4 linked regions of the Arabidopsis thaliana genome follow. The protein of the gene in region 1 interacts with the protein of each later gene in a pairwise test. Each region holds a gene or a part of one and is shown in the gene's direction. Other genes may lie near its edges.

Evidence for each region.
Region 2: the proteins of ARA6 (region 1) and PGLCT interact in a protein complementation assay, tested with the Arabidopsis thaliana proteins (one large-scale study listed by BioGRID).
Region 3: the proteins of ARA6 (region 1) and AT2G20780 interact in a protein complementation assay, tested with the Arabidopsis thaliana proteins (one large-scale study listed by BioGRID).
Region 4: the proteins of ARA6 (region 1) and AT1G19450 interact in a protein complementation assay, tested with the Arabidopsis thaliana proteins (one large-scale study listed by BioGRID).

Annotation. Positions count from the first base shown.
Region 1 is NC_003074.8:20,316,488-20,321,654, forward strand, and holds ARA6 (Ras-related small GTP-binding family protein), read left to right. Parts: upstream 1-1,924; 5' UTR 1,925-2,109; coding exon 2,110-2,134; intron 2,135-2,368; coding exon 2,369-2,448; intron 2,449-2,468; exon of another isoform or gene 2,469-2,673; coding exon of another isoform or gene 2,674-2,676; intron 2,677-2,886; coding exon 2,887-2,970; intron 2,971-3,112; coding exon 3,113-3,207; intron 3,208-3,303; coding exon 3,304-3,409; intron 3,410-3,722; coding exon 3,723-3,812; intron 3,813-3,916; coding exon 3,917-4,003; intron 4,004-4,235; coding exon of another isoform or gene 4,236-4,250; exon of another isoform or gene 4,251-4,253; coding exon 4,254-4,295; 3' UTR 4,296-4,619; downstream 4,620-5,167. Other genes in the region: PUB14 (plant U-box 14), read left to right, coding at 5,037-5,167.
Region 2 is NC_003076.8:5,270,793-5,276,363, forward strand, and holds PGLCT (plastidic GLC translocator), read left to right. Parts: upstream 1-1,683; 5' UTR 1,684-1,861; exon of another isoform or gene 1,862-2,102; 5' UTR 2,103-2,111; coding exon 2,112-2,367; intron 2,368-2,510; coding exon 2,511-2,625; intron 2,626-2,697; coding exon 2,698-2,765; intron 2,766-2,877; coding exon 2,878-3,010; intron 3,011-3,093; coding exon 3,094-3,193; intron 3,194-3,293; coding exon 3,294-3,406; intron 3,407-3,487; coding exon 3,488-3,581; intron 3,582-3,655; coding exon 3,656-3,809; intron 3,810-3,927; coding exon 3,928-4,074; intron 4,075-4,149; coding exon 4,150-4,223; intron 4,224-4,327; coding exon 4,328-4,416; intron 4,417-4,499; coding exon 4,500-4,614; intron 4,615-4,703; coding exon 4,704-4,886; 3' UTR 4,887-5,020; downstream 5,021-5,571. Other genes in the region: AT5G16140 (Peptidyl-tRNA hydrolase family protein), read right to left, coding at 1-3, 79-129, 219-286, 370-454, 534-725; AT5G16160 (uncharacterized protein), read right to left, coding at 5,021-5,063, 5,147-5,300, 5,381-5,444. UniProt on the Arabidopsis thaliana protein: May be involved in the efflux of glucose towards the cytosol.
Region 3 is NC_003071.7:8,946,740-8,951,231, reverse strand, and holds AT2G20780 (Major facilitator superfamily protein), read left to right. Parts: upstream 1-1,802; 5' UTR 1,803-2,061; coding exon 2,062-2,275; coding exon of another isoform or gene 2,276-2,338; intron 2,339-2,369; coding exon 2,370-3,736; 3' UTR 3,737-3,990; downstream 3,991-4,492. Other genes in the region: AT2G20790 (clathrin adaptor complexes medium subunit family protein), read left to right, coding at 1-631, 706-762, 846-893, 1,005-1,070; AT2G20784 (uncharacterized protein), read right to left, coding at 1,456-1,611; GCL2 (GCR2-like 2), read right to left, coding at 4,191-4,492. UniProt on the Arabidopsis thaliana protein: Plasma membrane sugar-proton symporter.
Region 4 is NC_003070.9:6,730,889-6,736,701, reverse strand, and holds AT1G19450 (Major facilitator superfamily protein), read left to right. Parts: upstream 1-1,677; 5' UTR 1,678-2,068; coding exon 2,069-2,266; intron 2,267-2,388; coding exon 2,389-2,451; intron 2,452-2,562; coding exon 2,563-2,652; intron 2,653-2,767; coding exon 2,768-2,827; intron 2,828-2,915; coding exon 2,916-2,981; intron 2,982-3,070; coding exon 3,071-3,136; intron 3,137-3,231; coding exon 3,232-3,307; intron 3,308-3,415; coding exon 3,416-3,480; intron 3,481-3,565; coding exon 3,566-3,658; intron 3,659-3,734; coding exon 3,735-3,815; intron 3,816-3,897; coding exon 3,898-3,982; intron 3,983-4,080; coding exon 4,081-4,127; intron 4,128-4,192; coding exon 4,193-4,255; intron 4,256-4,349; coding exon 4,350-4,409; intron 4,410-4,499; coding exon 4,500-4,565; intron 4,566-4,661; coding exon 4,662-4,721; intron 4,722-4,803; coding exon 4,804-5,031; 3' UTR 5,032-5,291; downstream 5,292-5,813.

The DNA of each region.
Region 1 (5,167 bases):
CCTGTTAATAGAAGATAAGAAGCTTGACACATGCAAAAACAAACACCGATCACTAAATTTTTATTATTACTCATCATGAAGTACTTCTTTGTATTATAGTGTCGTTAGTATAAACCTGAGGAATGTAAGACTTAACGGATTCCGGTTGTACGTAGACTGAATCGTTACTATGAAAATTTGTCATTAGTAAAATTTGATTTTAAGGTCATGCACTTTCAATCATTTGGATGCAAATTTGAAATAGATTTTCTTATAGATTTTTTCTCGAGCAAAATATCTCAAAAGCACTACGATCAAAAGCTTGTCAGCGAGACATTGGGACACGTTGGCACATAGCAGGACAACTCACTCATCTAACCGGTAAACGGACCAACATCAGACATGAGATTACAATCGTTGACGTGTCATTATTATCCACATGGTCTTCTCTTATTGGTATACATTGTTAGATCTCAGATTATGCAGTTGTAGCGCCAGAGAGAAGATCTAATTGCATGAGGGTTAACTTAACACGTGTCGACTGTTGCTTCGTTCAACTTTAGATCAGCATTTAGGATCCAAGTAGGTGTACAATTAGATTCTCCCAGGCCAAGATTCTTCTTCCCATCTGTAGTTCTATTATCCACGTCGGATTATTTTTAATTTTACTCTATTACTATTAATTATATACGTATCCAATTCCAAGTGTATTAGATTAAGCTAAAGTATTTATCCCTCACACAGACAAATTTTATTGTTCTGTTAGCAAGTAATATTGCACTAAACCATCTCTAAGCTAATTTCAGGTCTTCATTTGTTAATGTAATATTTTTGTTGTCAACTTTAAATGTAAATAGTTTTCTTATTTTCTTATGTCATATCTTTCCTATTTCATCTAAAAAAGAATATGTTGAAATAAATTGAATAGTGGAATTATGACTTGGAAAATCAAAATTTGGAGAAGGTTTGGCGTAATGAGAAGCACGAGCATGATCGAAAAAGTGTTCTATGTGAGTTGTTCTATTTCAAAGCTCACCACGCAAGGATACACATACGTAACTTGGTCAATACAATGATCACAAGCAAACACACCCACTCATATATAAATAGAGCATATATTCCTCACAAGAATACAAGATATTATAGAGCAAAGATTGATAGCTAACTTCAGTAAATGTCGAGCTACATTTCCTTCTTCATGTTACTCTTTTTGTTCCTTATTTCTCCTCGAACAAACGTTGTCTGTGCATCAAGACCTTTATTGGAATCCAATAATCCGGGTCACATGAGCACGAATACAATTTACATAAAAGGTAGCGAACAAGGCGCATTTCGCGGTGGAGCGATGAACGATTGTCTTCCAAAGGGGTTTCACTTCAACTCAGCTCCTAGCCGCTACATTAACAATCTTCCTTTAGATTCAACTCTTTGTTCTACAACAGAGAAAGCTATTCCTAATCCATAAAAGTAATAATCCCCTAAAATATTACCCGCTAAATTAAGTATGTGCAAAGATTGATAGCTAAATCACCTATTTGTTTTTTTTTTGCTCTATGCTTGGGTTATTTCTTGAATAAAACCCATGTATGTATTCTTTAATTAATTGTGTTTGTATACTTGTGTATAATATTTAAGCAATTTTATTATAGATGAAAAAAGTAATTTTATATAAAAATGTTGTTTAGTAAATTAATCAACACAAATCAGTTTTTGCTAAATATGAGAATTTTTCTCTTCACCACGGTTAAAACTTAAAACTAAAACTGTATTTATTGAGATAATATATGTTAATAATATATGTTCATACTTCATAGCTTTGTGGAAATTGAGAATAACCATATGTAAAATATTTTGAGAAATGGTTAAAGGGTTCATAAAATAAGAGACAACACTTATGAGAAAAAAAAAAGAGCCTTTAAAATAAAACTTTGGTAAAGTCAAAGGAAAAGGACGATAAAAATCATCAAATCGATAAGTTTTTATTTTTATTTGACGATCTTGCTTCTTCTTCTTCTTCTTCTTCTTCTTCTTCTTCAACTCGTTACCATCAACGCTCAAATCCTGTATACAATCTCTTCTCAGCTGTAATTTCTATAATCTCGTCAATTATCATCTATTCAGGGGTAAGCTATGGGATGTGCTTCTTCTCTTCCAGGCAAGTTTTGTTTTCTCTCTCAATTTTGTTGAATTTGTTGTCGTTGTTCGAATAAAACTGAGGATTTATAGAGACCCTCGAGCAATTTCACCACCCATTTTCCGAAGGTGTAATCATCGGGGTTGAATTAGAAGCTTTTAAAAATTGGGGATTTTGATGATTGGTTAGGGTTTTCTGGTGGAGAATTGGAGAAACCGAATTGATTGTTGGTGATTTGTGTGTTTTGTGAAGCAGATAGGAACTCTGGAACTTTAAGTGGTCTTAGCAATTCAGAGAATGCTGTTCCAGCTGATGCCAAAAATCTACGTGTGAAGGTTTTTTTTTTTTAGTTTTTAGTCTCGTTTAAGAATGTTGATCTCGTTGAGATTGCTTTGTTTCTTCACTGATTCCTGCAATTTCTAATAGCTTATTAGAAAGTTCATGCTTTTGTGATCTGTGGTCTTGCATTATATATGATTGTTCACATTTTAATCCACGCATGTTGTAAGATGTGATAAGCCTAGTGAAGCGCTTTTGAAGAAACATACACTCTTTATAGAATGGTAGTAGCAAAACCTCAACTTTGTTCTTAATAATTGACGGTTTTGCTTTGCAAGCTACTTTTGAAACTCTTTTTCTATTGTTAAGGAGATGATTCCTTTTCTTTCACCTTTTATTTTCTTGTTGCTCAGCAGTATTTTGCCAAGTGTGGTATAATTGGTTTCAACTTTGCGTAAGACATACCACTAACTTTTGGATTCACTTGATTGCAGTTAGTTCTATTAGGAGACTCTGGTGTTGGTAAAAGTTGTATTGTCCTTCGATTTGTACGTGGTCAGTTTGACGCTACATCTAAGGTAAGTAAAGCCTTGTTATCTAATTGTCTTTATTGACCATCTGACACCTTTTTAGAACACCATGCTCTGATGTGAGTGAATATTAGACTATTAGAGTATACTTATCTGCCACTAGATCTCAAGACTACTAGCTATGTATCAGGTAACTGTTGGAGCCTCGTTCTTGTCCCAAACTATAGCATTGCAAGACTCTACCACAGTGAAGTTTGAAATATGGGATACAGCAGGACAGGAGAGGTATTAAACCCTTCATGCAGATTTGTATTGCTTATTTTATTAGATAAACGCTTTGCAAACTTACTAGGATTTAACCTGCATTCACTTTATTTTTAGGTATTCTGCTCTTGCACCACTATACTACCGTGGAGCTGGAGTTGCTGTTATTGTGTATGATATAACAAGCCCTGAATCGTTCAAGAAAGCACAGTATTGGGTTAAGGTATGTTTTCAGGGGGTTCAAAAGGTTCCATTTCGTTCATGTTTCTAGGATTCGTGCAATAGCTTCCGAGCTATATCTTTACCAGGACTGAAAATTAGAGTTACAGACAGTCATATAGCCAACAGCACTCCTGTCTGTGTATATAATGGGTATCATTTAGTTGGGCAACTGGTTTACTTCTCTGACATTTTTGTTCCATTAATTTGCACTCGTTGCTACCATGAAGCCATTTGGCACAACTCCGTGCAGGAAAGATATCAACATTATATTGAATCTAGTGCTATTGTTTTACCCCTGCCCATAAATCTAACAGGAACTGCAAAAGCATGGAAGCCCAGATATTGTTATGGCTCTGGTTGGTAACAAAGCTGATCTACATGAAAAAAGAGAAGTACCTACTGAGGTGAGTTTGCGTAAACGTCTTCATCTAGATTCCGTAGCGCATTTTGTTGTCACTTTCATTGTCCTTGCTTCTTCAGTGGTATCACATTTTCAATTTCTTAACAGGATGGAATGGAGCTTGCAGAGAAGAACGGCATGTTCTTCATTGAGACGTCAGCCAAGACAGCCGATAACATAAATCAACTGTTTGAGGTGTGCACTTCTTTCTTGCCTCTGATTTATGATCGATTTTCTTGTCCTCTGCATTTATTGAGATCTTATTATCCGTTTCTTTCATTGCTTTGGAATTGGAGGATGGAAAAGTGATAGGCAGTGATATGCAGCTAGATATGAGATTTAATTTCTTGTAGTTTGTGGAGGATAATAGTTTTGGATGCAGAAAGATGGATTAATACGAAGTATATGAGATTTTAACTTGTTGTAGTGTACACATGTCTGATAGGAAATTGGCAAGAGGCTACCTCGTCCTGCTCCTTCGTCATGATTGGAGTGTTGAATCATCTCATCTTCAGCCATGTCTTCAGACTACTAATCTTTCCATACTTTTTAATGTAATGTTTCAAAACAATATTTCTCTATCTGTTAAGTCAAGTGTGTTGTATAATGTGAAGATTTGAGTTTGAAACTGGGGATATTACGAACCTCAAAAGTGGAAACCCAAGTTATATCAAGCAATGGATCATCAGTACATATTTTAGTGGGATTCATCAGAAGTAGAGAAGAGTAAAGCTTCATTCAAATGATTCAATGCATGTATAGTTTGTGGGAGAGACTATTGCAGCCAATTCTAACAAAACCTAAATCAAGAAATTATTTGACAATTTCAAAGAGACTAACAAACAGGTAGAGAAATCCATTATACAAAGGATTTGACTTTTGATGATTTCAGATGCAAATACAAACTTAAAAACTTTATATATTTGTATTGGTCAACCTTAATATCATAAATTTATAGTTGAGGCAATAAATAAATATGAAAATCTAAATGCAATGTTTAAATATTAAAATTTAACGGCAAAATAAAATAGAAAAAATTATGATTGGTCTGAAAATGGACAAAATGAGACTTTTCATGTCCAAATAGGTGTTTATTGTCACGTTGATGAGAAGACTATTTCGTTCCATAGCATTTCTGTTCCTCCTCTTGGTTTTTTGGGTTTCTTCTTCCTCGTCTTGGTTTCGTTAAAACCCTTTTGAAGCCCTCTGGAACAGTAAAATCTGAGGGATGGGATTAACGAATTGTTGTTCCCACGAGGAGCTAATGAGTCGACTCGTTGACTCCGTTAAAGAAATATCAGGGTTTTCATCTTCAAGGGGTTTTATTGGGAAGATCCAAGGCGATCTTGTTCGTAGGAT
Region 2 (5,571 bases), on another chromosome or scaffold:
AATCTAGTAGAGAGAAACAAAAGTGTTCATATGGAACATAGTTCTGGATTCAAGGGATGCTTAAGTCAGTGACTTTACCATTAAAATGTGGCGCAATGGTACTCGATAGTGTGAAGCTAGAGATCCAACCTTTAAAACGACAACAGAACAGTTTCAGGTATGATGATTATTTGATCACGCAGCTGATCTTTGCAAAGTTATGAACAGAAAATACAAACCGATTCGCCGCTGAAGTTCATATAAGTCTGAGGTTTAGCCAACAAGATAGGTACATCTTCAATAGCACCTGTACTGATTCATACATAGAACCAAAAAGTCATCAGTTTTATTATTCTTCAAACCAAAGAACCAAAGCAAGAGAAGTAGAACCTATTCCGATTAGAGCTTTGGACTGTATAGTGTTCATCAACACCCCTTCTTTTCTAGCCAACACATCGATCATCTCGAAACCAACCTGAAAACAACACAAAGTTGTAGCATTGCCAAGATCAAATCCAGCAATTAAGTAAAAGAAAAAGATTGTGTATCATTACATTGTGTCTTGTTCCATGATACTTGTTTCCTGGATTGCCCAACCCAACGATAAGCCAAGGAGTGTACTCTACTTTGAATCTATCATCCTCACCACCAGAAGTAGATGAACAAACCCGAAACCTCTGTTTCCGGAAAACTGGCTTTTGCGTTTGAAAATGGTAAACACTTGGTGTATACGTTGGGCACAACATGGAACTGTTGTTGATTCAAAGACCTATTGAAATTGAAATGACTAGAAACTTTGAGATTCAATACTTGGAATATACATAAAGATAAAAGCTTTTCAGGATATAATGAAATTCGAAATCATATAACAACTGAGAATCAAAACTTAATGAAACCCATTAACAGAGATACAGCGCAGATAAAAAATAATTGAAGTGTAATCGAACAGAGGACTCAGCAAAATTTCTGGAGAATCAGAGATTAGCAATGAGCTACAAGGATTACACAAAAATGTATTTGTGGTTTATATTATGTTATAAATTTTCAGTAGAAGAAGGATAAGTGAGAAGGAAAATAGCTTACCTCTTCTTCTTCAGGATTTTTCGAAACAATTTCGGAATTTTCTTTTGCGAAGACGTTGGAACGAGATAGAAGTAGAACGATGAAATACTGAGACGAAGATGTTAGAAATTGGTCCCGTTTTGTATTAATGGGCTTACTAATATTAGCCCACAAAAATGATGGGTTAAATAATAGTGGCCCAAGTTACTATGATTTTTATACGTCACCGTTACTATGCTCAATGGCGGCACGTGAGTACTATTGAATAACACGTGCGGCTATATACGTCATCCAAAATCTAATCCAGAAAATCCAACGTTGCCAAATCGCCAATCCTGCGGCTCTTACGTAACTCTTTTACTTCTTTTTTTCTTACCCTTTTATCGACTAATTTATGTCGAATAATAATTGTAAATAATTTTCTCAATTTATAAACTCAAAAAAATTTCCTAATTAGTCCCGCCACTTAGTTCGATTTAGTTGATACTGGTTGATTTATTCAAATTTCCTAGCAAATATTACAAAATTACCAATCCAAAATTGAAAGTTGCATCACATGCATTAAATTTCATGATTTCTTTAAAATAAGAAATGAAAATACTCTATTTTCCGTATGGTTTTGGATAAATATGAATTATTACACAAAAATCCAAAACTAATAAGGAAACAAAATTGCATTATTTATTTTTTGGTGCGTTTTAATTTTTTTTTTTAAACGACAATAAGCTCCACAGTGAGTTCTTCTCAGCAATCACAATCTATCTGGTTTAAGCCCTCACTATCCTCTCTCTCAAATCGCGGAGTCTCCGAAGTTTCTCTGGTAATTTTCAAATCTGAAGTTTTGCTTTGGATATCACGATTTTTGTTAATCAGCCGCGATCGAGAAGAGCGTTTTTACTCTCTCGTTCGCATCAATGCAACATATTTCCCAATTTCGTGATGTTGCGTCTTCATCGTTCCTTACTTCTCTCTTTTTGAGTTCTGTTTGGTATAAATGCGATCCTTTTTTTTCCTTCCTTGCCTAATATTTCTCGTTTCCTTGCAATTACGGTTATAAAAAGTCAGACAAAATGCAGTCGTCAACGTATGCGGTTAAAGGAAACGCTGCGTTTGCGTTTCAGAGACGGACCTTCTCTTCTGACAGATCGACGACTTCTACCGGAATTCGCTTCGCTGGTTATAAGAGCTTAGCCACCACCGGGCCACTCTACTGTTCTGGTTCTGAAGCCATGGGAGCGACGCTTGCTCGTGCTGATAACGGGATCCAGAGCGTTATGAGTTTCTCTTCTGTCAAAGCTCGATCGGTCAGAGCTCAAGCCTCATCTGGTTCGTCTCTTCTAATGCTCTTCTATCTTTGTCTATCATTAGATTCTGTGATTGCTTACAAGTTCTTAAATACAATTTGAAGAATCTAATGTATAGTTTGGGATTTGGACTAATCATCTGATGGTTTGAGGAATGAAATGTAGATGGAGATGAAGAAGAAGCTATACCTCTGAGATCTGAAGGGAAAAGCTCTGGAACAGTTTTGCCTTTTGTTGGTGTTGCTTGTCTTGGTGCTATACTCTTTGGTTATCATCTCGGGTATGACTAAATACTACACTGTTTTTATCTTGGTGTGATCATGGATGATGATGTTCTATTGGACTGAATCAGGGTGGTTAATGGTGCTCTTGAATATCTTGCTAAGGATCTTGGGATCGCCGAAAATACTGTTTTGCAAGGCAAGTATATGATGATCCACTTCTTTACTCCTCCTGTCAACGGTAAAATGATTCGTGTTTTGATTAGTAGCCAAACTCATAATTGGTATTCTCTATGATTGGTGTTGAGCAGGATGGATTGTTAGTTCTCTGCTTGCTGGTGCTACGGTAGGTTCATTCACTGGAGGTGCATTAGCTGACAAATTTGGACGAACAAGAACTTTTCAATTGGATGCTATCCCGCTTGCCATTGGAGCTTTCTTATGGTAAATTTTCAAGCACTAAGCCATACCTATTGGTGAGACGTTAATTGATTTCTTAACGCATTGGTTCTTTTTTTATTGATTAGTGCAACAGCTCAGAGTGTGCAGACTATGATTGTGGGACGTCTGCTCGCTGGAATTGGAATTGGAATCTCATCAGCGATTGTACCACTTTACATATCTGAGGTTGTTTAAATACTGATTTTCATTATTTTTGCACTTTTAGCATAAGATGTTAGATTTGTTTATATGTTATGTCTCTGAAGCGTTTGATGATGGTTGTCAGATATCACCAACTGAAATCCGTGGAGCACTCGGATCTGTGAACCAGTTGTTCATCTGTATAGGAATACTTGCAGCCTTGATAGCTGGATTACCCCTTGCAGCAAACCCTCTATGGTATGTAACATCCCTTTTTTATTCATCATCTTTTATTTTGGGTTGCATACTGTGATAAGTTTTGATATCGTGGTCTTCTAGGTGGAGGACGATGTTTGGTGTTGCAGTTATCCCTTCCGTTCTATTGGCCATAGGAATGGCTTTTTCTCCAGAAAGCCCAAGGTGGCTCGTTCAGGTACTCTCAAGGAACAGATCTCAACACTTAAAATGAGATCAATTTTTGACAAGTCAAGGAAATCAATTTTGCAGCAAGGAAAAGTCTCTGAAGCTGAAAAGGCGATCAAAACTTTGTATGGTAAAGAAAGAGTGGTTGAACTAGTTCGCGACTTATCAGCCTCTGGCCAAGGTTCTTCTGAGCCGGAGGCAGGATGGTTTGATCTATTCAGCAGCCGCTACTGGAAAGGTATAGCAAGACTTGGTGGAGATACATTGTTTAGTTTGTAATAAAAGCTGACGGATTCCTTTCAAAGGTCATATCGGATTGATCAATTTACATAGTTTCTTGTCTGTTCTTGTTGTAGTTGTAAGCGTAGGTGCGGCTCTCTTCTTGTTTCAACAGTTAGCCGGGATAAACGCAGTTGTGTATTACTCCACATCGGTATTCCGTAGTGCGGGAATCCAATCAGATGTTGCAGCCAGTGCTCTCGTTGGAGCATCAAATGTCTTTGGTTCGTTTCCCCGTTATGTTCTCATTAAATTCCAAAAATAACCAAAAAAATAACACGATAAAAATCTGGTCGCAGGCACTGCTGTTGCTTCATCGTTGATGGATAAAATGGGAAGGAAAAGTCTTTTACTGACAAGCTTTGGTGGAATGGTACATGTTTTTATTAAAATTCTTAGCCATATTCGAAAATCTCAACCCTCATTAGTATTACCACAACAGGACTAACTTGGATTTTATGGTTTTGTATTGAAAAGGCTTTGTCAATGCTGTTACTCTCCTTGTCCTTCACATGGAAGGCTCTTGCTGCCTATTCTGGAACCCTTGCCGTTGTTGGAACTGTTCTGTAAGTCAATCTCCTCTTAACACTTCCTTATAGTCTCTCTGTATAGGACTTGACTGACTCTTATGCTCGGTTGTTTAAATCAGATATGTCCTGTCATTCTCACTTGGTGCTGGCCCGGTACCGGCTCTTCTTCTTCCAGAGATATTTGCATCCCGAATCAGAGCAAAAGCCGTCGCTCTTTCTCTCGGCATGCACTGGGTATATACATATATCTATAGGTTTTATGGGTTCAGAACAGAGTTTCTTCTCTCTGTTTCTAATGTTTTGTTTCTCTTTTGCCCTAACAGATATCAAACTTTGTGATCGGACTATACTTCTTAAGCGTTGTGACTAAATTCGGAATCAGCAGTGTCTACTTGGGTTTTGCTGGAGTCTGCGTCCTTGCGGTCCTCTACATTGCAGGAAACGTCGTCGAGACTAAAGGTCGATCACTGGAGGAAATAGAGCTTGCTCTTACATCTGGAGCTTGAAATTAAACAAAAGAAATCAGCAGAACAAAAACCAGTTTGTTTCATCATTTAGTTTGTGAGTCTTTCTCTAATCTGCTACTCTTAAATTGTACAATGGACGACGTTATCAATAACGAGAAATCTTTTCATGACCACTACATGTTGGCTTTCCTTTCCCACCTCTCCCTGGTATCTAGCCTGTTTCAAAACAAAAAAAGCATGGCATTAGCACGGTTTTCTCAATATGAAAAAGAATTCTAAAATTAGCGAAATAAGCTCACCCCCAAAACAGTTTTTGTGGCTTCTTCGGTACTGTGACTACTGTCTTGTTATGATTCTGTTCTTCTAAGGTAGAAGAAGAAGAAGAAGTTGGTTCTTTCAACTTTTTAGAGCTTTCGCCATCTTCGATCGCTTTACTCTGAGAATTCTTGCTCGCTGCATTTCAGTGTAGAGCTTTTAGTCTAGTGAATATGAACTGAGAATTCTCAAAAAAAGAGAGCTAAATATATATATACCTTTAGGTTTCTTCTTATGAATCTTTGCATTAGCTTTTATTTGCATACGTCTCTTGTGTAGCTCCTGTAATCTCAACACAACCAAAATGGCTTCAAATTCAAATTGCTATGTACATAGTAATTCGGTTGAAAGAAAAAAAAAAAAAACTGGATTGAACAGTTGATAGAAATTCGAATCAAGATGATTATAC
Region 3 (4,492 bases), on another chromosome or scaffold:
AGGGCTGCCTGATGTGTCGTTTCCTCTAGCAGGGCTGAGTACAGCCCATATCGAAGCTATATCTTTCCATCCATGTGCCCAAGTTCCAGCACATGGGATTGACAAGCAGAACATTGTTTTCCAGCCTCCCTTGGGTAACTTTGTTCTCATGCGATACCAGGCAGGTTGTGGACTCGGACCACCAGTGAAAGGGTTCTATCAGCTATCAATGGTTTCAGAAGACGAGGGTGCATTCCTCTTCAAGGTGCACCTCATGGAAGGTTACAAGGCTCCTCTGTCAATGGAATTTTGCACTATTACTATGCCCTTTCCACGGAGACGGATAGTGGCATTTGATGGGACTCCGTCAGCTGGGACTGTTTTAACCACAGAACACTCTGTTGAGTGGAGGATTCTGGGCAGCGGACGTAGTCTTTCTGGGAAAAGCCTTGAGGCAACTTTCCCTGGGACAATCAAGTTTAGTCCATTGCAGAGCAGAAGAAAAGGGGATGGGGATGATGAAGAGAGTGAGGATGAGAGCGCTGAGAATGTGGTGAACGTGGAGGACTTCTTGGTGCAGAAAATGAACAAGGATCTCCCAGCAGCTGAGTTGGAGGAACCGTTCTGCTGGCAAGCCTATGACTATGCCAAGGTATGTATGTCTTTGGCTTCCTTTTGAAATCTTTTGGACTTGGTTGTTGTTCAAATCTATCTTCTGGTTTACAGGTCTCGTTCAAGATTGTCGGGGCATCTGTATCTCGAATGTCAATCGACACAAAATCAGTAAGCTTTCGCAACTTGCAATGATTAGTTAACAGTGTTAGCCCATATTATCGACTTATTATGGCCTCCTTTTGTTTTACTAGGTCAATATCTACCCAACCACAAAGTCACCGGTTGAGTTTTCTGCTCAGGTAAGACACTGCCAACAATATATAGTGTATAAATATTGAAGTGCACAGGAAACGTTTGAACCGGATTGGATAAAACTCTAAAGGCGCTCTACATGATATGTGCGTAAACAGGTGACTTCAGGGGATTATATATTGTGGAACACATTGGGGAAAGCTCCATCAGCAGCCGTCGTGTGATTTCCCCAAGTCGCAGCCTCACTGGTATTGTATTTTCCCATCCCAAGGAAGTGATTTATTTGTTTGAGTTTGAAAGCATTAAACGTATGAATGAGCAGTTTGATTTTTACAGCGGAAGTGTATCTGTACATTATTGTTGTTTCTTGAGAGATAAAGAAAGATGAATGTTGTTTTAGTTGCAAATCTGTCTGGAATGGAACATGTGATAATAAAACTCGTAAGGTGGTTGTGTTCATGAAGTTGCCACTGTTTCATAATTAGTCTACAAGCCTAAGAAAGAAATTGCTCTATATAGAGAATGCTATCTAGATATAGTATATATCCAGCTCATAAAGGAGATTATAATCCAAGGTTTGCAGCAATATGAGGTCTGTATTTTATGAAATTACAAAATTAGAAGAAAAATATCAATCAATTTAAAGATTGTTGTTGCCACGTCAATGACACTGTCTCTGTAGTTCCAATGAGCTTGGAATAACCACCGACAGATCTCATTCATAGGGAGCAAGCTGCCATTGGAGGTTAATTCCATTTTTTTCATAATAAAGGTTAACTGTCCAAACTCGAAACCCTGATTTATTTAGTTTTCAATAAATGTTTTCATGCCTTTTAAGAGTGTGTGCTAAGCTAACAGATGAGCTGTTATTACCTTGAAAACTCTAATCTATCTTAATTTAATAAGTTCTTAAATATCTTTCCAACTTTTTTTACGCTTTAAGAAAAGAAAAAAAATCCTATTTCTTGAAACGTAATGTTAATGGAAGGAGTCAAGTTGTCTTTTGAAAATTGGATTACCTCATTAGAAAATTCCACCAATTTGGTCAAATAGAGACGATGAGATTTCTAAGAAGTCTCTCCGGTTCAGATCTGGTCATCTAAAGCCCTTCTTCCGAGATCTACGACTTTCTTCCTCAAGTCGTTGTCTGAATTCTCTTTTTTTCCGAAAACAGACACCACCTGAGTCTGCTGTCTGAAGCCTCGGCGGAGGGAGATGATGAAGAATCTTCCGGAGGTTGGTAATGGCGGTGGCTCGGGTTTTCCGGCGGTCTCTGTCGGAAATAAGAAGAATAAGTATCAGAGAATGGACTCCGACGCGGAGGAATCGCAGAATCATCGTGAAGCAGAGGCTAGAAACAGTAGAACCAGAAAATACGTTATGGCTTGTGCCTTTTTTGCATCCTTGAACAATGTTCTTCTCGGCTACGGTCGGTTTTACTTATATAATCGGATTCTTCTTCTTCTTCTTTACTTTGTTGACTTACAAAAAGGTATGTGTGCTCTGTTTTTGGTATTTGTCAGATGTTGGGGTAATGAGCGGTGCGGTGTTGTTCATACAGCAGGATCTCAAAATAACGGAGGTGCAGACGGAAGTGCTCATTGGTAGCCTTAGCATCATCTCACTCTTTGGCAGCTTAGCCGGCGGCAGAACCTCTGACTCTATCGGTAGAAAATGGACCATGGCCTTGGCTGCTCTCGTCTTCCAGACTGGTGCTGCCGTGATGGCTGTCGCTCCGTCTTTCGAGGTTTTGATGATAGGGAGAACTTTAGCCGGCATTGGGATTGGGCTTGGTGTCATGATCGCTCCTGTCTACATCGCCGAGATATCCCCCACCGTAGCTAGAGGATTTTTCACTTCGTTCCCTGAGATCTTCATAAATCTAGGGATCTTGCTGGGCTATGTTTCGAACTACGCTTTCTCGGGGCTTTCCGTGCATATCAGCTGGAGGATCATGCTTGCAGTTGGGATTCTTCCTTCGGTGTTCATAGGATTTGCGCTGTGTGTGATCCCTGAGTCGCCGAGGTGGCTGGTGATGAAAGGCCGAGTGGACAGTGCACGAGAGGTGCTCATGAAAACGAATGAGCGAGATGACGAAGCGGAAGAGCGGCTTGCAGAGATACAACTGGCGGCTGCACATACAGAAGGCAGCGAGGACAGGCCCGTGTGGCGTGAGCTTCTTAGCCCATCTCCTGTTGTACGGAAAATGCTGATTGTTGGATTTGGAATCCAGTGTTTCCAGCAGATCACAGGAATTGACGCCACAGTCTACTATAGTCCAGAGATCCTGAAAGAGGCTGGGATACAAGACGAGACCAAACTGCTCGCTGCAACTGTCGCTGTTGGTGTCACGAAAACAGTGTTCATACTATTTGCCACCTTCCTGATTGATAGTGTTGGCCGGAAACCGCTGCTTTATGTGAGCACAATAGGAATGACTCTGTGTCTCTTTTGTCTAAGCTTTACGCTCACATTCCTCGGCCAAGGAACGCTTGGGATAACCTTGGCGCTTCTCTTTGTTTGTGGAAACGTTGCCTTCTTCTCCATAGGAATGGGACCTGTTTGCTGGGTCTTGACATCAGAGATCTTTCCATTACGATTAAGAGCCCAGGCATCTGCGCTTGGGGCGGTTGGGAACAGGGTGTGCAGCGGTCTGGTGGCCATGTCCTTCCTCTCTGTGTCACGTGCCATCACTGTTGGAGGAACCTTCTTCGTTTTCTCCCTCGTGTCTGCACTCTCAGTTATCTTCGTGTATGTGCTAGTCCCCGAGACAAGCGGGAAGTCACTGGAGCAGATAGAGTTGATGTTTCAGGGTGGGCTGGAAAGAAAAGACGGTGAAGTTGAGCTTGGAGATGCTGAGCGTCTTGTGCGCAAGGAACAGGAGTTTTGAATTGATCATGTTAAAGTAGAAGAGGCAGAAGTGAAAAGATACTCTTATGGTGTTCTGTTCTTGCATTAGATCCAAAGAACGTAAGATAGATTTTGTAAGTGCGTTTGATGATGGTATAGACCCAGTGCATATTCCAAAGAAACCAACTGCTCTGTTTTTTTGTTCCTTGTTTCAAGAAGAAACCATGTGATACTCAACTCAAAAGACAATATATACAGAAATGACAGAACCTTTGTGTTCACTTCATGTTTCACACTCTCCTTCTAACACTCATAAAGTTACAGGCTCTCCGGACAGTTCGGCTATATATCAACTCAAACTTATTCACCATCAAACAACAAGAAGATTTTGCTAGTACTAAACACACATACACTCACACCCTCTCTTACCTTGTGCATCCTCCATAACAAGAGAGAAGGATTTGATGGACGGAGATTGTTATCGATCAAGAAGTTTAAAGCTCGTAACCTGGGAACCTGGCTTCAGATGGGTCGACCATGTCAAGGAAGAGATAGGCCATGCCTGCAACGCCTTCAAACAAGGAATAAGGACTATCACCTCCATGCATTTCTCCTTTTGAGAGTAACTTGGGGCCTCTATCAAGCAGGAAACTGGCAAAGGCTTTTGCACGGTATAGATACTCACTCCTTCCCGTAGCTCTGTAAAGCGCAAGAAAAACATATGCGTTCCCACTTATTCCATGACAGATCCCCACGCGCTTGAGCAATCCACGGTTCCAAACCACCTCTGCTGCAG
Region 4 (5,813 bases), on another chromosome or scaffold:
TACAGCAGGTAGTCTTATATTTTAGTTAAACTAAAAACTTTTATTGTAAAGTTGATTATAAATATATGATATTATTTTATTTGATTTTAAATGTATAGTAAACTGCGAGTTGTATATGTTTTGTTGATATTATTTATATTGTTTAGTGTTTAAAATTATATACTTGTATTTTGATTGTTAATTTTAAAGTTTCACATATAGTATATCATCTTGTATTAATATTGATTTAAACCCGTCAATTGTAGGATTTTTCAGCTTGTATTAAAAATTGAATCACATCATACACATTAAAAAATCTAATATGTTATTAATTATTGTAGTATATAAGATTATAAATTTTAAAATAATATGTATGAAATTGAATATAAATATTCAAACTATGACACAGTACTCAGTAAAAAAATTTCTTAAATCTACTTTTGACCCGTTATAGTATTTTTTCATGTATTGAACAGTTTATATTCGTTTTTAAAAATTCAAATTGTGGCATATGCGAAAAAATTCTAATTATTTTTTTATAACGATGATATTATTTTTTTGCAAAAATAGAATCATATAAAGATGAGAGGTGAACTATAATAATTAATAAAAAATTAATATGATAATTTAGATATCAAATCTAATTTGTTGATTTTAATTGGTTACTTTTTTGGAAATTAATAATGTATTTCGTTTTTGAGTTAAATTTAATTAATTAAATTAGTATTTGACTTTTAATTTTTAAAGAAATAAATTAATTTACTCTTTAAAATCTTATTTCTAATGACATACCTATGTAATTACTTACAAAAAAATAAAGTTATATTTAAAATGTATTTCCTAAATAATATAGTAGGATGTTATTGGTAAACATTGAAATAACATGTCGTATTCTCAAAGATTTTAAATATTGAAAATAAATAAATAATGTTGTATCTGAATAAATATTTATATTTATTGAAGTATTCGAAATTAATGACATCCATATATTTTTCATATACTAGAAAACAAAAACTATAATTATTCGAGTTTATCTAATAAAATAATGTCACTTGCATATTTGTGACCTATCGACATCAATATCAACGAGGTAGCGAAAATGCTAAAAAGTAGAGGAGGATTCGAGCATTATATTCATATTTAAGTGTTACTTTAATAATCTTATTATTTGTCCTAAATTGAAGTTTTAGCTAAATTTTCTCCCACAATATTGTTATTCTGATTTTGTTAAGAGTTAGGACAACATCTAAATATGAATTCTATAATGCATGCTAACTATTATTATAAGTGCTAAAATATAAAATGACATTGTCACTTTTTGTTGTCAAAAGGAATGTCTAGTGGCCTCGTATTCTAATATGGGAAGTTTTAATTATTATTCCTACCAAAAAATATCTTTGAAGTAGACAGTTTACCTAAACAAAAAGAAAAACATTTTCTTAAAAATACAATATAGTTTAGTCTCAGCCTGTACCACAATTTTATAGTATTGTTGCGTAATTAGTTACATTGTAAAAGCTCATTATAATACTAATGAGTATGTAGAAGTATGTAGAAGAAAATAAATGATTCAAAGCGACTACAAATGCTTGTATATGTGAGCGAACATGGGACAATGATTCAAAAAATTATCTTTGCGCAAAAAATAACTCGAAAACGACAATCAGACAAAAAAAAACAATAGTTAAATTTGATATAAAAGAATTTAAAATGAACGATATCTTATTTAATTACAAATTAAAATGTTTTTAAATTAAGTTTTTTTTTGTCGACAGAGAAGAAAAAAAACAGGTCCCTTTACGAATTCTATAAATCGATGTTAGGCGACGCGTTCTGAGGTGGAAAACTATGAAACAGTCTGCGTCTCTCCACGCAAAGGCTCAATTTTTACAAACCATGAAGAATTCTTAAGCAAAACAAGTCTAACATCTTTTTGAATTCACCCAAAACTCAAATCCTACCTCAAATTTCGTATTTTTCTTCTTCTGCATTTTCTAGTTTAGGATCGACATTTTTATCCTCCGAAAGATTCGTGCTTTTTTCTCTCTGTAGATTACGATTGTTTTGTAGATTTAAGAAAAACAAAAAGATGAGTTTTAGGGATGATAATACGGAAGAGGGAAGAAATGATCTTCGGCGACCGTTCTTACACACAGGAAGTTGGTATCGGATGGGTTCGAGACAATCTAGTATGTTGGAATCGTCTCAAGTTATTCGAGACAGCTCAATTTCTGTCTTAGCTTGTGTTTTGATTGTTGCTCTTGGTCCTATTCAATTCGGATTCACTGTAAGAACAACATAAACAAATATCTCAACTTTCTTATATTTTTTTTTATCAATGTGGATTTCTCTGCTTTTGCTCAAATTGACTAAGAAAGTGTTGATTTTGATTTATCTTTTTGTTTTCAGTGTGGTTATTCCTCACCAACTCAAGCTGCCATTACTAAGGATCTTGGTTTAACTGTATCAGAGGTATGAAGGTCCCATCTTTATTTAAGAACTGTTCTGTTTTTTTTTTTTTTTTTTGTAAAGACTCTTGTTCTGTAATTTTCTGACTTTTAGGTTTCTTGTTTGATGTTTTAGTACTCTGTGTTTGGGTCTCTATCCAATGTGGGTGCTATGGTTGGAGCAATTGCGAGTGGTCAGATTGCTGAATACGTTGGACGGAAAGGGGTATAATAGTTTTGTTTCTTGATTCTAAAACATGTTCTCATCTGTGACAATTTGTCATGTAACATCTTCTTTCTTGTTGTATCTTATTTACTGTGTTTTTCTTTCCTTTTGACAGTCTCTGATGATTGCTGCAATTCCCAATATTATTGGATGGCTTTCGATATCATTTGCAAAAGTGAGTGTTTTGGTGTTCTCAAAGTTTCTGATATTCTTGGCTTATCTCTATACCTACTAAGTTGTTGTTGTTCTTGGTTTTTGTTTAGGATACTTCTTTTCTTTACATGGGAAGATTGTTAGAAGGCTTCGGAGTTGGGATTATCTCCTATACGGTAATATTAGATTCAACTATTTCTTTGATTTCAGCAATGTTTGTTTGGAGTGATCAATATAATTACACACCTTTGAATTGCGATTTTAGGTTCCCGTATATATAGCTGAGATCGCTCCACAGACCATGAGAGGAGCCTTAGGTTCAGTTAACCAGGTTTGTCATGTTTAGTTAGCTTCACTATTTTTATGTTTCATTTTATGAGCTGATTCATATGTTAACACTAAACAATAAATGTTTTGTGTTTATAGCTTTCTGTAACAATTGGGATAATGCTGGCGTATTTACTCGGTCTCTTTGTTCCATGGAGAATTCTTGCAGTTTTGGGTAACTCACAAAACATTTTGACTTGACTTGGGAGAAACTATACCTGTTTTTATTTTATTTTGATCGATACAGTCTAATCACTTTCTTGTTTGTCTTCTTTATGTTTAGGAGTATTGCCATGTACATTGTTGATACCGGGTCTTTTTTTCATTCCTGAATCTCCTCGGTGGTTGGTATGCCTCTACAACCGTATTGCTTATATTGTTGAGTTTGTTGCATTATTGGTTATCCTAAATTGTTTTGGTGTTGTAATTGTAGGCAAAGATGGGTTTGACAGATGATTTCGAAACTTCATTGCAAGTTCTTCGTGGATTTGAGACTGATATTACCGTTGAGGTTAATGAAATCAAGGTAGTGACTAAACTGAAGAAATGCTTTGATGTGATTTCTTGTCTTATTTAAAATTTTCATTTTATGCACTCTGCAGAGATCTGTGGCATCATCTAGCAAACGTTCTGCAGTTCGGTTTGTAGACCTCAAGCGCAGGAGATACTATTTCCCACTGATGGTGCAATTTCTCTTACCTCTCTTGAACTAATTTTGTCAACACATGAGAGAAACTCACTCTTTTCCTGTAATCTGTGTTACAGGTTGGTATAGGGCTGCTTGCACTTCAACAACTTGGAGGAATCAATGGTGTCTTGTTCTATTCGAGTACAATTTTTGAATCTGCAGGTAGAGTCATATGTTTTTTTTGATTATTGGAATGGTCCTAAGATAGAATAAACAGATTTCTAACTATGCTTCTTTGTTTGCAATTATCATTCACTAAGGGGTGACATCAAGTAATGTGGCGACATTTGGAGTTGGCGTTGTTCAGGTATATCATTTCAATCTAGGAGACATTAGATTCGATTTTTCTAACCGTTGTTCATTCTATACCAGGTAGTGGCGACTGGGATAGCGACATGGTTGGTGGATAAAGCAGGTCGTCGGCTTCTACTCATGGTGAAGAATATTTGAGATTCATCTGTATATCTTACAAAGTCTGAAGAATTTATGTATGCATAACATAATATTAGCATTTTCTTCTGAAATGCAGATCTCTTCTATCGGAATGACGATAAGCCTCGTGATTGTAGCAGTTGCATTTTACCTTAAGGTAACATTTTAACTTTTGACATCTCTACTTGTACAATGTAAGAGTGTCACTCTAATTATGAGATATTGAGGTTTCTTAATCTTTTGTTAGGAATTTGTATCACCTGATTCCAACATGTACAACATTCTAAGCATGGTTTCCGTAGTTGGAGTTGTGGTAAGTCGTTTGTTTTATACATTCACACAACGAAAGATACTTTCTTATTTACATATTTCCCGGTATGTGTACTAAATCTGGCTGAGTTATTTACAGGCTATGGTTATTTCTTGCTCTCTAGGAATGGGACCAATTCCATGGCTGATTATGTCTGAGGTACTAAATATTAAAACATGGTGTTCCTTAGTGTTAAAATCACAACTGGAAATTTTAATACTGATTAATGTTGGTAAAACAGATTCTGCCAGTGAATATAAAGGGTTTAGCCGGAAGTATAGCAACTTTGTTAAACTGGTTCGTGTCATGGTTAGTGACAATGACTGCAAATATGCTGTTAGCATGGAGCAGTGGGGGAACTTTCACTCTCTACGCTTTGGTTTGTGGATTCACTGTGGTTTTTGTGAGTCTTTGGGTTCCTGAGACTAAAGGAAAAACGCTTGAAGAGATCCAAGCTTTGTTCAGATGATCAAAACAAGAAGAGGAAGAAGAAGACAAAATTTTCACTTTTTGCTTTCTCCATTACAGATCATTCTTTTGTCCCTTCCCTGTGTCTGTATTTCATGCTTTGTTCAATGTATTTCTTCTTGACATTGATTATAATTTGTTTATCTTGTACAAGCATATCATTATACCTTTAAATTTGATTTTTTGTTTTTGTGTGTAATTTTTCGGATTCTCAAGATTAATAGCACTATATTTGTGTATTCAACAATATCTTGAATTAAGTATAGAAAATCAGAAATGCAAATGTTAGTGTTTTGGATCCAAATGGGAAAGCTACCATGTGATAGAAACTGCTTTGGGAGTTTTGTTGTTTGGCGAACATGAAAGGACTATTTCCAATGCAAACGGCGGTCGATTTGAAAAAGAAAACAACAATATAATAACAATTTTAAAATCATTCTTTATATAACATTCTTGGCATGTCCCACTGTCCAATTTGACCATTCATTAAGAAATCAGAACCAAGTAAACAATACTAAGGTCATTTTCTTCCAAAAGTAATAAACTAGGAAAATATCTAGACAATTTACAGATAGTAACGAAATAATACGTTACAAGAACATGAAAATGGTTTTTGTAGTTACCGTTCCTTGTTTATATTCTCAAAGTAACGGATTCACATATTCACACCATTCAACACGAGTGAGTGTCAGTGAAAGGCAAAGTTGGACAAACGAAAGTTTTGGTTTCTGTAATTTAATTGGAGCAAACTTCAATAATAGTAAACAAACAACCTTTTGTTTA